3 linked regions of the Arabidopsis thaliana genome follow. The protein of the gene in region 1 binds, or shares a complex with, the protein of each later gene. Each region holds a gene or a part of one and is shown in the gene's direction. Other genes may lie near its edges.

Region 1 (3,829 bases):
AACGTCACGTTGGTGACGACATTTGCACACCTTACCGTGTGTGTAGCGTGAAGCACAATTATCCTTTTTCTTTTCCATAGAAAATGTTATCAATTTCTTTTCATAAATACAAAATTAACTGATCAACTTGATAACGTGAGAGATGAAAACAAACAAAAACAACACTTTTTTTTTTCTTTTCCTAACTTTAGAACTTTTGTGATTTCATAAAATTTTGGTTTTACAAATTCATAAAGCAAAAAAAGGAAAAAAAGATGATTACTATAGCGAATATTCGTCAACAAACTTAGTCACTTTGCAACTAAACCCACACTTGTAGTCTCTGTAGAGTGTAGTTCACCTTTTTGAGCATTCGTCGCTATGTTTCCACATTTAAACCATAACAGTTGGCCCAAAGAAAAAGTGAAAGCTAATGGGCTTTTTATGTTACTAGGCTTAACCCAGAAAATGACATACAGCTAGCGATACGACATTGGTTTAGCTCTGCAAAACGCTCTATAGTGTCTGTCTGGTCAGAAATTCTTCGACTCACTTTCGGTTTCTGATGTTTTGTCTCTCTGATTGAAAAAGGTAAAATCTCTTGAATCTATATCATATCGCTAAGCTTAATTTGCTGGCTAGGATTTTACCTGATTTTTTGGGTATATAGTGATGATAGAAATTTGAAGTAATTTCTCCAGTTTTCTCATTGATTTAGGGGTTTTAAATGTAGACTTAGTATTCATGAATGAGTTGATTTCTAATTGATATTATCATGTTAATCATCTTGAAGAATTGACCTTGAATTGGTGGTTCATAGATGTCTCATCTTGTACAATTTATTTGCTCGAGGATCTTATGATTCTTGGACATAGTGGAACAAAGATAGCTTTAAAAATGGACGCTGAGATGATTACTTGGTTGATGTATAATAGTTTGGTCTCTTAATTAAGGTTTTGATGGTCCTTAAGGTTAGTGTATAGCTTCTATAGAACTTTTTAGTCTCTCCTTTTAGATGGTTATGACGAATTGACGATTGTGTTATTCACGAGATAATTTGCATCCGAACATGTAAATGTTACACACTTGCAATATTGGTGTGCATGGAGAAATTATAGATTGTGTTAAGTGTTAATCCCAAAATGCATCTGCTAAAAGTGTTGCATAATCATCTTGTTGACTAGATAACTTGTTTTTGTGGTTTGGACAATGTGACGATACTATATATGATGTATGTAAAGATCGGGTTTTGCAAGATGGGAAACAAAGCTACAACGGTGAAAGAAGAACGCGAAGAGATCCATTTGAAGATTGTACCTCCATTGGACAAAGTTTTTCTGCGTTGGCTCGCAAGAGATCTCCAGAGAGTTCATGGATTCAAACCGAAGAACAACACTCGTGCGATCACTCCTCCAGATAGCTACATCGAGTTTATGCGGTTAAATGGATCGCTTGATGTAGATTTAGATGACCCTGATCTTGCCCATTTGTTCAAGTAAAAAGGGGTTCTTCTATTGTTGTCTCTGTTTGTTATGTATGAAGCTTTCAAAGTCTTAGTATCTTTTTTGATTACTCATACAGTCATACTTAAAGCTTGTGTTTTGGAAGCTCAGTCTATAAATATATATTATCTTCTCTAAACAGTATAGCATTCATAAGAGATCCAAGTGTCTGCATTCAGACGACACATGTTTCTATTGTCTTGGTGCTATGATTTGGAATCCCTATGTTTCGAGGTTCCATTTAAAAAAGTTGTTAAATGATGAGACACTCATGAGCATAATTTTCATCAATATAGTTTTGCCTCACCTATGAATTAAAAACAAAAAAACGTATAAGTTCGACAGATTTTGACGATAATTGCTCACACTTAACGCGTGTAACGGATGCTGCAACAGTTTGATGAAATTATTATGCTCCACTTCTTAACATGAATAAATCCAAAATTCATTTTTTTCCCCTCAATCTCAAGGAAATAAAACTGTATCCAAATTAGTTACATAGCTTTATTAACTTCGTTGACTTTAAAAAAAAAAAAACTTACTTAAAATTTTATAATTTTGTATTATATATAAAAATAGGATTATTATTATTTAGTAGAGAGATATTGGTAAAAAGATTTGTGTACAAAGAGAGAGATAAAGAGCGCTAATTCCCTCCACATCAGTATTCAGAACCAAACGCAACTCATTCCCTCGTTTTCTCTCTTCCTCTTCCACCGTCTCTTTTTTTTTTTTTTTTTATAATCCTTCCTCTTCTTCATCTTCTTCTCCTCTCCCGCTTTTTTTCGATTCGCCGATCTCTTCACATTCTCTTCCCGGAATCTCCGTAATTCCCGCCGTAGATCTGCTTCTTAATCGTTATTGGGATCTCTGCTTACCGGAGATCCGAGTTTCCGTGACAATTTTCGCCGTTTCTTTTTTTTTTTGGGGGATTTTTTATCGAGATTCGTTCTTATGTCTGAAGAAGTACCTCAACAATTCCCATCTTCTAAGCGGCAGCTTCATCCTTCTCTTTCTTCTATGAAGCCTCCTCTAGTTGCTCCTGGTGAGTATCACCGGTTTGATGCGGCGGAGACTCGCGGTGGTGGAGCTGTTGCTGATCAGGTTGTCTCTGACGCGATTGTGATCAAATCTACTGTAAGTCTTTTTTCTTCTCAATTTTGCTTGTGAATTTTGCTTTATAATTCTCGTGTTTTCGATTGTGTGTGAGGTTTGGTTTTATTGATTATGATTTTGATGATGTCGTTGCTTTAGATTTTGATGAGAATTGTGTCGGGATCTGCTTCTGTTGGTGTTAATTGCGTTTGGTCTCTTTTGATTAACCTTGTTTGTAGTATTGGAATTAGCATTGCAAGTACTTATTGAGTAGTTTAGTTGCTGGACTTAGGGTTTGTGGTGTTACTGTTATTGCTATTTAGAGCAGATTCATGCACTTTTGTGTTTATGTTTAGTTAAATTAGTTTCTGAATTTTGCTATGTTGGAATTGGTAAAAGTTGTGTCTATGCTTTTAGATTTCAGCATAGTGACAGTATGATGCTGATAGGATTTGATTCTGTTCAATTCGTTGATGTATTTAACTGTTCAATTTTGGTGACTTTATTGGCAGCTGAAGCGTAAGACAGATTTGGTAAACCAAATAGTTGAGGTCAATGAATTGAATACCGGTGTTCTTCAAACACCTGTATCAGGGAAAGGGGGGAAAGCCAAGAAAACTTCTAGGTCTGCGAAGTCTAATAAGTCTGGAACGCTAGCTTCTGGCTCTAATGCAGGTGAGTTTGGTTCTAAATGCTCTGTGTTAGTATGCCAATGAGAAATATTTCTTATGTGCTCATCTGAGCTAAATCTTCTTTAAAGAGTGGAGATATTGCAATGTAGTGAGAAGGATCTTTTGTGTTGGCAGGTTCTCCTGGAAATAACTTTGCACAGGCCGGTACTTGTCGATATGATAGTTCGTTAGGTAATAACTTATTTCATTAACTAATGTTTAAAAAATGTACTTTTGGATAATAAGTTTTTTTAATGATTTAATCTGCTTCAGGTCTTTTGACAAAGAAATTTATCAATTTGATAAAACAAGCAGAGGATGGTATTCTTGATCTAAACAAAGCAGCTGATACTTTAGAGGTGACATATTTGAACTCTAGACTCCCATATTGATGTATTACTTTCTGTCAAACTTAGCTGTATGTTCCTGTTGATGCAGGTACAAAAGAGAAGGATATATGATATAACCAATGTGTTAGAAGGAATAGGTTTGATAGAGAAGACGCTTAAGAACAGGATTCAGTGGAAGTAAGCATGTCTTAGAACTGTCAAATCTTGGATTCCTTCCATTTGATGACTCATG
Region 2 (3,600 bases), on another chromosome or scaffold:
ATGTGAATATATCCAATGGCTGGGTTTAATTTGAGAATCAAGACAGTTTGTTGGAATGTGACCACAATTATGGCCGGTCCTTTTGATGTGAATCAGGACTTGTACCAATGATGTTACTCCTGCAGGTAATCAGGTTATCTGCTGCGACTCAAGAATACCCTAAATCTATAGTCTGCAATGTTCATGGCGTCAACCCTAAATTTCTCGAAATTGGGTTGAGAAAACTAGAACAGCAGAAGCTCCAGGAGCAGCCCTTCACTAAAGGCGCATACTACATTGGTAAGATGGTCTGGAGCAAAGGGTACAAGGAGCTTCTTAAACTACTTGAGAAACACCAAAAGGAACTTGCCGAGTTAGAGGTTGATTTATACGGTGATGGAGAGGACTCTGAAGAGATCAAAGAAGCAGCCCGAAAACTCGACTTGACGGTTAATGTTTACCCAGGACGTGATCACGCTGACTCGCTATTTCACAAGTAAGTCTCTAGTTCTTAACAGCCTCAAGATTGATTGATTTCCTTGCAGTCTATCGGATTCTATACCTTAAACTTTTCCATCTTCTATTTTCAGCTATAAAGTGTTTCTCAACCCCAGCACGACAGACGTTGTGTGTACAACAACTGCAGAAGCCTTGGCGATGGGAAAAATAGTAGTATGCGCGAATCACATATCGAACAAGTTCTTCAAACAGTTTCCCAACTGCAGAACCTATGACGATGGACAAGGTTTTGTAAGAGCCACGCTCAAGGCTCTTGGGGAACAACCATCGCAACTTACAGAGCAACAAAGGCATGAACTATCATGGGAAGCTGCTACACAACGGTTTATAAAAGTCTCTGATCTGAACCGGTTATCAAGAGCTGATTCGAACTTGTCAAAGAGAAGTGTGTTTGCGTCATCTTCGATTAGTGTGGGGAAAAACTTGGAGGATATGTCAGCGTATATTCATTTCTTGGCGTCTGGATTTGAAGCTTCCAGAACAGCTTTTGGTGCTATACCTGGAAGCTTGCAGCCCGATGAAGAGTTATGTAGAGATCTTGGTTTGTCTCTCAACACTCCTTCCCCAAATACTCGCAAGCAAGATTGACCTGTTTTTTAATTTATCTTTGTCTGCATATCATTGGGATATTTTTGTGTATAAATCAATGTATACTATCTGAATCATTCTATAGCAGCTTTGGTGTAATATTGATGATGAAAGTTAGATTTTTCATCTTGTGGAACATGTATGATGACACGAGTCTGAATTATAAAATTTAGTATATGATTCCATTAAAAGAATCAGAAGCTGTACATATCATTTCGAATTCGCATTTGTCCACTTATGTGGCCAATTGCTCATATTAGAGCCATATCTAATTGCTAATAAGAAAACCATTTAACATATGAACTATGAGTAACTCGTGTCCTGTGCATTAATGGTTTACTTTTCATGGATTTTATTTATGCATACCATTCACTTTTCTTCTAATAAAGATCTTGTGAATCTTTTCTATTTTGCTAATATTTTTGTTTTTATTATCAAAAAGATAATATAGAATCTTAATCCCACAAAAAAAACATTTACCAAGAAAAAAAGTAATTAAATATTAATATTTTAGAGAGAAAAATGGACTAGAGAATCTCTTTATGCATAAAAAAAGATTTTTTGGATAGCCGTTACTGAACGACAAATCCTTTTCAGTCTCTCCTCTTTCTCTCGACAGAGCGATTTCAAGTCTTTCTCTCATAGATTAGAACTTTTTGCGATTGAAAAAACTCTTGTCCGTTCAATTTATAGTTTAAGATAGTTATGTAGTTTAGGATCTCGTTGTTTTCTTCTATATTCTCGTTAGTTGAGGCTGTTATTTAGGGTTTTAGGTTTTGTCAATTTCTGAAAGACTTATGACAGAGTCTATTGATTTAAATCGATCAGAGTCCGAGTCTGATAACAACACCGACGACGTTACTCCTATTTTTGCAATTGATGACTCTTCAAAAGGGTATGTTTCTCTTCGTCCATCTCTTGTTCGTTCCTCAATTATATTTTGTGGTTTGGTTTATATTTGTTGCAACTTGATGAATTTGGGGGTGGGTGTTATATATATATGTGATTAAGGTTTTTATGTGTGATGATTAAGATTAGTGGGAAATTTATAATATCAGTTTTAAGTATATATGTTTATATGTCATTAGGGTTTGATCTTATGATTGCTTTGTGATGTTTGATTTGTGGTTAAAGATACAGAAGAGTGAGTGGTCCTACTAGAAGATCAACTAAAGGAGGATGGACAGCCGAAGAGGTACTTATATCTCTTGTTATGTCTTGTCCAAGTTATATAAATGTGTCACTGAAACCTTTTTTCCATCTTATGCAGGACCAAATTTTGACGAATGTTGTGAAGAAGTACCAAGGGAGGAACTGGAAAAGGATTGGTAAATAATATTTTGATGTGTTAGCCATCAATATTTGCCCTAAAACCAATATACACTATATGAGTTTTTTTTCTCTTGTCTTTGGTTTAGCTGAATGCCTTCCTGGGTCGGAAGAGAATAGGAGGAATGATGTCCAATGTCAGCACCGTTGGCTTAAGGTTCTTGATCCAAGCCTCCAAAAAGGAGCTTGGAAAAAAGAGGTAACTACTTTTGCATTCCTTTCTTAATATATGCTATGTTACGTTGTTTCATTACCTAGTGATCATATATGTCTCTTGATATTCAGGAAGATGAACTCTTAAGTGAGTTGGTTAAAGATTATATGGAGAATGATAGGCCTCCATGGTCAAAAATTTCAAAGGAACTCCCTGGTCGCATCGGCAAGCAATGCCGCGAAAGGTTTCTTACATTTTTCTTTCTTTTCACATTTGGTTTGTGAACTTGATGACAAGTCCACATTTTCCCCATAATGTTGATTATGGGTTTTTTGTTATGTCTTAGGTGGCATAATCATTTGAATCCGACTATTATAAAATCTCCATGGACTAGAGAAGAGGAATTAATTCTCGTTCAAGCACAAAGAGGAAACGGCAACAAATGGGCAGAGATTGCCAAGCTATTGCCTGGAAGGTTTGTCCTTAAAACTAAGAAAACATTGTTGTGGATTTAACTAACCTTCTTGTTCGTGAAAACTAACAGGACGGAGAATAATATTAAGAACCATTGGAATTGTTCAGTTAAGAAAAGGCTAGAGCAGTTTCCTAGTAACCTCTTCTCTGGTGTGGTCTATGGTTCTAAACCTAGTTCTGGTTTTGAATACAACTTTTTCAATCAAAGAAACACGATGGTCGAGAGTTGCATAACATCACAAATCAAGGAAGCTGCAAAGAGTCCTCAAAGGGATTTCTTGGATTTAACTTTAGGACTGAATTGGAGGAGCATTTCTTCATCCACAAGCTCTCTTAGAGGAGAAGAATCAGTCTCATCATCAGTAGACTCAGTTTGTGCAAGACTCAATGGTAAGGCTGAAATATTATCTCATTGGATACGTTCTACAATTGATCATCACATGTTAACAAGTCTTTATGTAAAAGTTTCAGCGTGTTTAGAAACTCCACAGAACAGCAACAACGATACTGTGTGCGTAAAGGAAGTGAGGGAGATGAAAGAGAGACTTAGAATGGCT
Region 3 (3,829 bases), 6.9 Mb from region 1:
TCCCCACCTATGTGTGTCTTCGATGTATCTTTGTAGCCCATCGAGATTGTATCTATTTCCCGTATGTCATTAAAATATGTCGTCACCAACACCGTATCTCTTTTACCTCTTCTCTTCCATCTGGAAAATGGTCTTGTGGAGTATGTCGTAAAAAGGTTGACAACAATTGTGGTGCATACACTTGCAACAAGTGTAGCCACTATTTTGTTCATACAAGATGTGCGTTACGGGAAGACTTGTGGGATGGAAAGGATCTCGAGGGAGTACCTGAAGAACCTGAAATAATTCTCGAGCCATTTGAGACGATAGCTGATGGAATAATACTCCATTTTTCTCATGGCCATCATCTGAAACTCAAGACCAGTGGAGTTTACAACGAAAACATTATTTGTCAAGCGTGCATCCTTCCAATCTATGAGGGTAATTATTACTCGTGTATGGATCAATGCAACTTCATCCTCCACGAAGCATGTGCAAATGCTTCTCGCAAGAAAGATCATGCCTTACACAGTCACCCACTTACGCTAAAAGTTGTCTCTGATATACAGAATGAATACTTTAAAGGTTACTTCAGGTGTTCCGCTTGTGATCGTGAAAGTTGTGGCTTCATCTATGAGGAGGATCAATACAGCATAGACATACGGTGTGCCTCTGTTTCTGAACCATTTGATTATCAAGGCCATGAGCATCCCTTATTCCAAGCTTTAGACCGAAAAGAAGAAAGGGAGGCAATTTGTCAAATTTGCCGAAAAAAGTATGGTCGAAAACTAAATTGCATCGAATGCAATTATATTATATGTTTCAGTTGTGCTACTTTACCATACAAGGCAAAGTATAAGCTTGACAAACATTTCCTCACATTTCGGGAAGGGGAAGAGGGAAGTGATCAGTTAGACTGGTGTGAGGTATGCGAAAAGAAATTAGAATACTCAAGAGAAGGTGGGTTCTATGCGTGTGATGACTGCTGCACCACTCTCCATGTTGATTGTTTGCTTGGAAAAGAGATGTATATGTTGAATCCTGGTCATACTGTAATGGCTTATAGGTCAAACATTTATATTCTTCCCAACAATACCATGACTCGACCATTCTGCCAACTTCATAAAGAAGATCGTTGTCCACACAAAGTAATTTTCAATTGGCATGACATGACATTTTGCTCTTACAGTTGTTCGATGGATTAGATGTCATCATCGCCGGTGCTTCGTCGTCCCTTATTCGCTATATTTCACTCCCCATTTGCTTGTCTACGTTTTGTAATATGTTTCTTCTATTAAAACGTATTGTAATACTTTTGGATTCTTAACTTCTTCTAGTTCCCCATTTGCTCAATCTTCTTGTTGTCTGGTTGTTTACGTTTTTGTGTAATCTTTTCTTTTACTAAAACGAATTGTAATTTTCTATATCTTCTTCTTACCCAAAAACCTCGACTGATTAATTATATCTCGGCCTTTGGGCTTTAAATTATGGGCCAATTCGGACTGTTCTCGCTTAAGAAACTACAGTAAAAAAAAAAACCAGAATGAGTTATCTTAATGATCCGACGGTCCATAATCATTGAGGACCTCTGATTTGCCGACGTGTACAATGGTCAACGCATCAGCTAAAGAGTGCCGTTTGAGGTTGAAACTTTTATTTCCAACGTCAACCTTTCTTCTACTTTTAACGTCCGTTAAGTCCCCCTGTGGTTTCTTGTCACCATTTTCGGTTATAGTTTGATTTTAGATAACCGGTTTTATCCAACCACGAATTAAACTCGTTGTTTTCGTTTTTATCCGAAAGAATATTATAATTAATTAATTAGCCCAGTCACATTAATAAGTTTCGTAAAAAAACATTCATTTTCTCAATTCAATTAACCGGCTTCTTCCAATTCTTTTGAGTCGGTTTGGAATAAACCGGCCGGTTCCAGGTTAACGGCAGTTAGCAGTTACGTCGGCGGAAGAAGTATTCGTTACAATATTTGTTTTAATCCCAATTAGTCTCCTTCTCCTTTCTCTCTTCTCTCTCGTTCAACGGGCAAAGTTTTTTTCGAATATAAGTTTTGGTTTGTTTTTTAACGTTCCCTTCTTCTTCTTCCTCGCGAATTCGCTTATCTGGCGATCACGATGAGCTCAAGTTCGAATCCACCGGTTTGTTCACCGGAAAAGGTCAGATTTTTCCCTGAAATCTGATTAGGGCTTTTCATTTTTTGTGATCAGATTGTTATCTTCGTCTACTTTGGTGTGAGTTCATGGGGTTTTAGGTCTGAATCGGAACACGTTTTAACAGGTCTTGGAAAAGGGTCTGAATTGGTTTCTAATGATTAGAATTGTATAAACCCTAAACATCCATCTTGTGCTTGAAAGAAATCGACTTGTTTTTTTGTGAGATCTGGCTTCTATTTTGCGGCCGTTGAGTTTTTAGGGTTTTGTGATTTTTGATTATTTGTTTGATAAAGATACGTTCTTGTTCATTTTGTGCTCAATCCCATGTTTTTAACGAAAATTCTGGATTTGGTGATTTATATGGGTTTTTTAGGAGGAAAGAAGTGAAATGAAAATTGAGATTCAATGTATGGAGAATAAGCAACCATTAGCTGCTTCTTGCTCTTCTGCATCCGAAGGTAGTGGCTGTTTCTTCCTCAAGTCACCTGAAATCGCAACTCCTGCCACAGTATCTTCATTTCCTCGGTACTTTTACTATCTTTTACATTTCATCTTCTATCTGTGTGTTTATACAACTTATTATGAAATTGATTGATTGGAAAGACTGTGCTTTGATGACTTACACCGAACTCATTTTGGGTTTCTGCAATGTTTTAATGTTGATCTGCAGGAGGACTAGTGGACCTATGAGACGAGCAAAAGGTGGTTGGACTCCAGAGGAGGTTAGTGGTTGCTTTTGTTTCATAATTTTGTTGGTGTGTGGAGCAACCTCATTCGACTATGTATCTTATATGTATAAGGATTAGTGTTTACTTGAATGAAAGACGAGACTAGCCTTATTGTGGTCTGTAATTGGTTTTTATCACTATTCAGGATGAGACACTTAGACGAGCAGTTGAAAAGTATAAGGGGAAGAGGTGGAAGAAAATAGGTAAATTTCTTTTCTTGAATGTAAAAGTAGTATTGCAATACATTAGAATGAGATTATAGGTCTTCTAATCACACTCTTGTCTTGATGTATACTTGAATGTATAATTTATACATTTTTAAAACTGAACTCGTATCTTAAATCTGCTGAGAATTTTGTGAATTTTTCTCATTCAGTAAACATGATCTCTGCTGTGCACTTTGCAAGAGAACCATGATTTCTTTTTTGTCTCTTAAATGTTAAAGTAGCTGGTTTCGGTCAATGTTCTGTTTGTTTGATTTTTTTGTATTTCATCTTACAGCGGAATTTTTCCCAGAGAGAACAGAAGTCCAATGCTTGCACAGGTGGCAGAAAGTTCTTAATCCAGAGCTTGTTAAAGGACCTTGGACTCAAGAGGTTCTCTTATCATTTTCATGTTCTGAAACTTTTTTTGGTTTTCATTTTACGTAAAAATTTGGTAGCTCTAAAATTCTCTTTCTTTCGTGAATTGTAGGAGGATGATAAAATCGTTGAACTTGTAAAAAAATATGGACCTGCCAAATGGTCTGTCATCGCCAAGTCCTTACCAGGTCGTATTGGGAAACAATGTCGAGAAAGGTAACAAAGATTAGAATATTGACTATCTGAAGAATAGAGCCTGTACCTCCGTTGAGTTTGGAAGCCTCAACGAGTTTACGATTACAGGTGGCACAACCATTTAAATCCTGGTATTAGAAAGGATGCTTGGACCGTAGAAGAAGAATCAGCTCTCATG

What was found.
Region 2: E2F1 (region 1) and MYB3R2 share a complex: the UniProt entries of both Arabidopsis thaliana proteins name them as parts of the DREAM-like complex.
Region 3: E2F1 (region 1) and MYB3R-5 share a complex: the UniProt entries of both Arabidopsis thaliana proteins name them as parts of the DREAM-like complex.

Annotation. Positions count from the first base shown.
Region 1 is NC_003076.8:7,358,314-7,362,142, forward strand, and holds the start of E2F1 (E2F transcription factor 1), read left to right. Parts: upstream 1-2,221; 5' UTR 2,222-2,435; coding exon 2,436-2,618; intron 2,619-3,088; coding exon 3,089-3,251; intron 3,252-3,382; coding exon 3,383-3,439; intron 3,440-3,520; coding exon 3,521-3,606; intron 3,607-3,685; coding exon 3,686-3,774; intron 3,775-3,829. Other genes in the region: AT5G22210 (aspartyl/glutamyl-tRNA (Asn/Gln) amidotransferase subunit B), read left to right, coding at 1,236-1,478. UniProt on the Arabidopsis thaliana protein: Transcription activator that binds DNA cooperatively with DP proteins through the E2 recognition site, 5'-TTTC[CG]CGC-3' found in the promoter region of a number of genes whose products are involved in cell cycle regulation or in DNA replication.
Region 2 is NC_003075.7:235,640-239,239, reverse strand, and holds the start of MYB3R2 (myb domain protein 3r2), read left to right. Parts: upstream 1-1,657; 5' UTR 1,658-1,883; coding exon 1,884-1,981; intron 1,982-2,220; coding exon of another isoform or gene 2,221-2,226; coding exon 2,227-2,281; intron 2,282-2,356; coding exon 2,357-2,414; intron 2,415-2,504; coding exon 2,505-2,614; intron 2,615-2,700; coding exon 2,701-2,813; intron 2,814-2,915; coding exon 2,916-3,044; intron 3,045-3,113; coding exon 3,114-3,433; intron 3,434-3,508; coding exon of another isoform or gene 3,509-3,514; coding exon 3,515-3,600. Other genes in the region: DGD2 (digalactosyl diacylglycerol deficient 2), read left to right, coding at 126-475, 570-1,086. UniProt on the Arabidopsis thaliana protein: Transcription factor that binds 5'-AACGG-3' motifs in gene promoters. Required for proper circadian rhythm.
Region 3 is NC_003076.8:484,627-488,455, reverse strand, and holds the start of MYB3R-5 (myb domain protein 3r-5), read left to right. Parts: upstream 1-1,982; 5' UTR 1,983-2,108; coding exon 2,109-2,150; intron 2,151-2,520; coding exon 2,521-2,672; intron 2,673-2,791; exon of another isoform or gene 2,792-2,803; coding exon of another isoform or gene 2,804-2,817; coding exon 2,818-2,869; intron 2,870-3,020; coding exon 3,021-3,078; intron 3,079-3,376; coding exon 3,377-3,471; intron 3,472-3,568; coding exon 3,569-3,672; intron 3,673-3,759; coding exon 3,760-3,829. Other genes in the region: AT5G02330 (Cysteine/Histidine-rich C1 domain family protein), read left to right, coding at 1-1,184. UniProt on the Arabidopsis thaliana protein: Transcription factor that binds 5'-AACGG-3' motifs in gene promoters. Transcription repressor that regulates organ growth.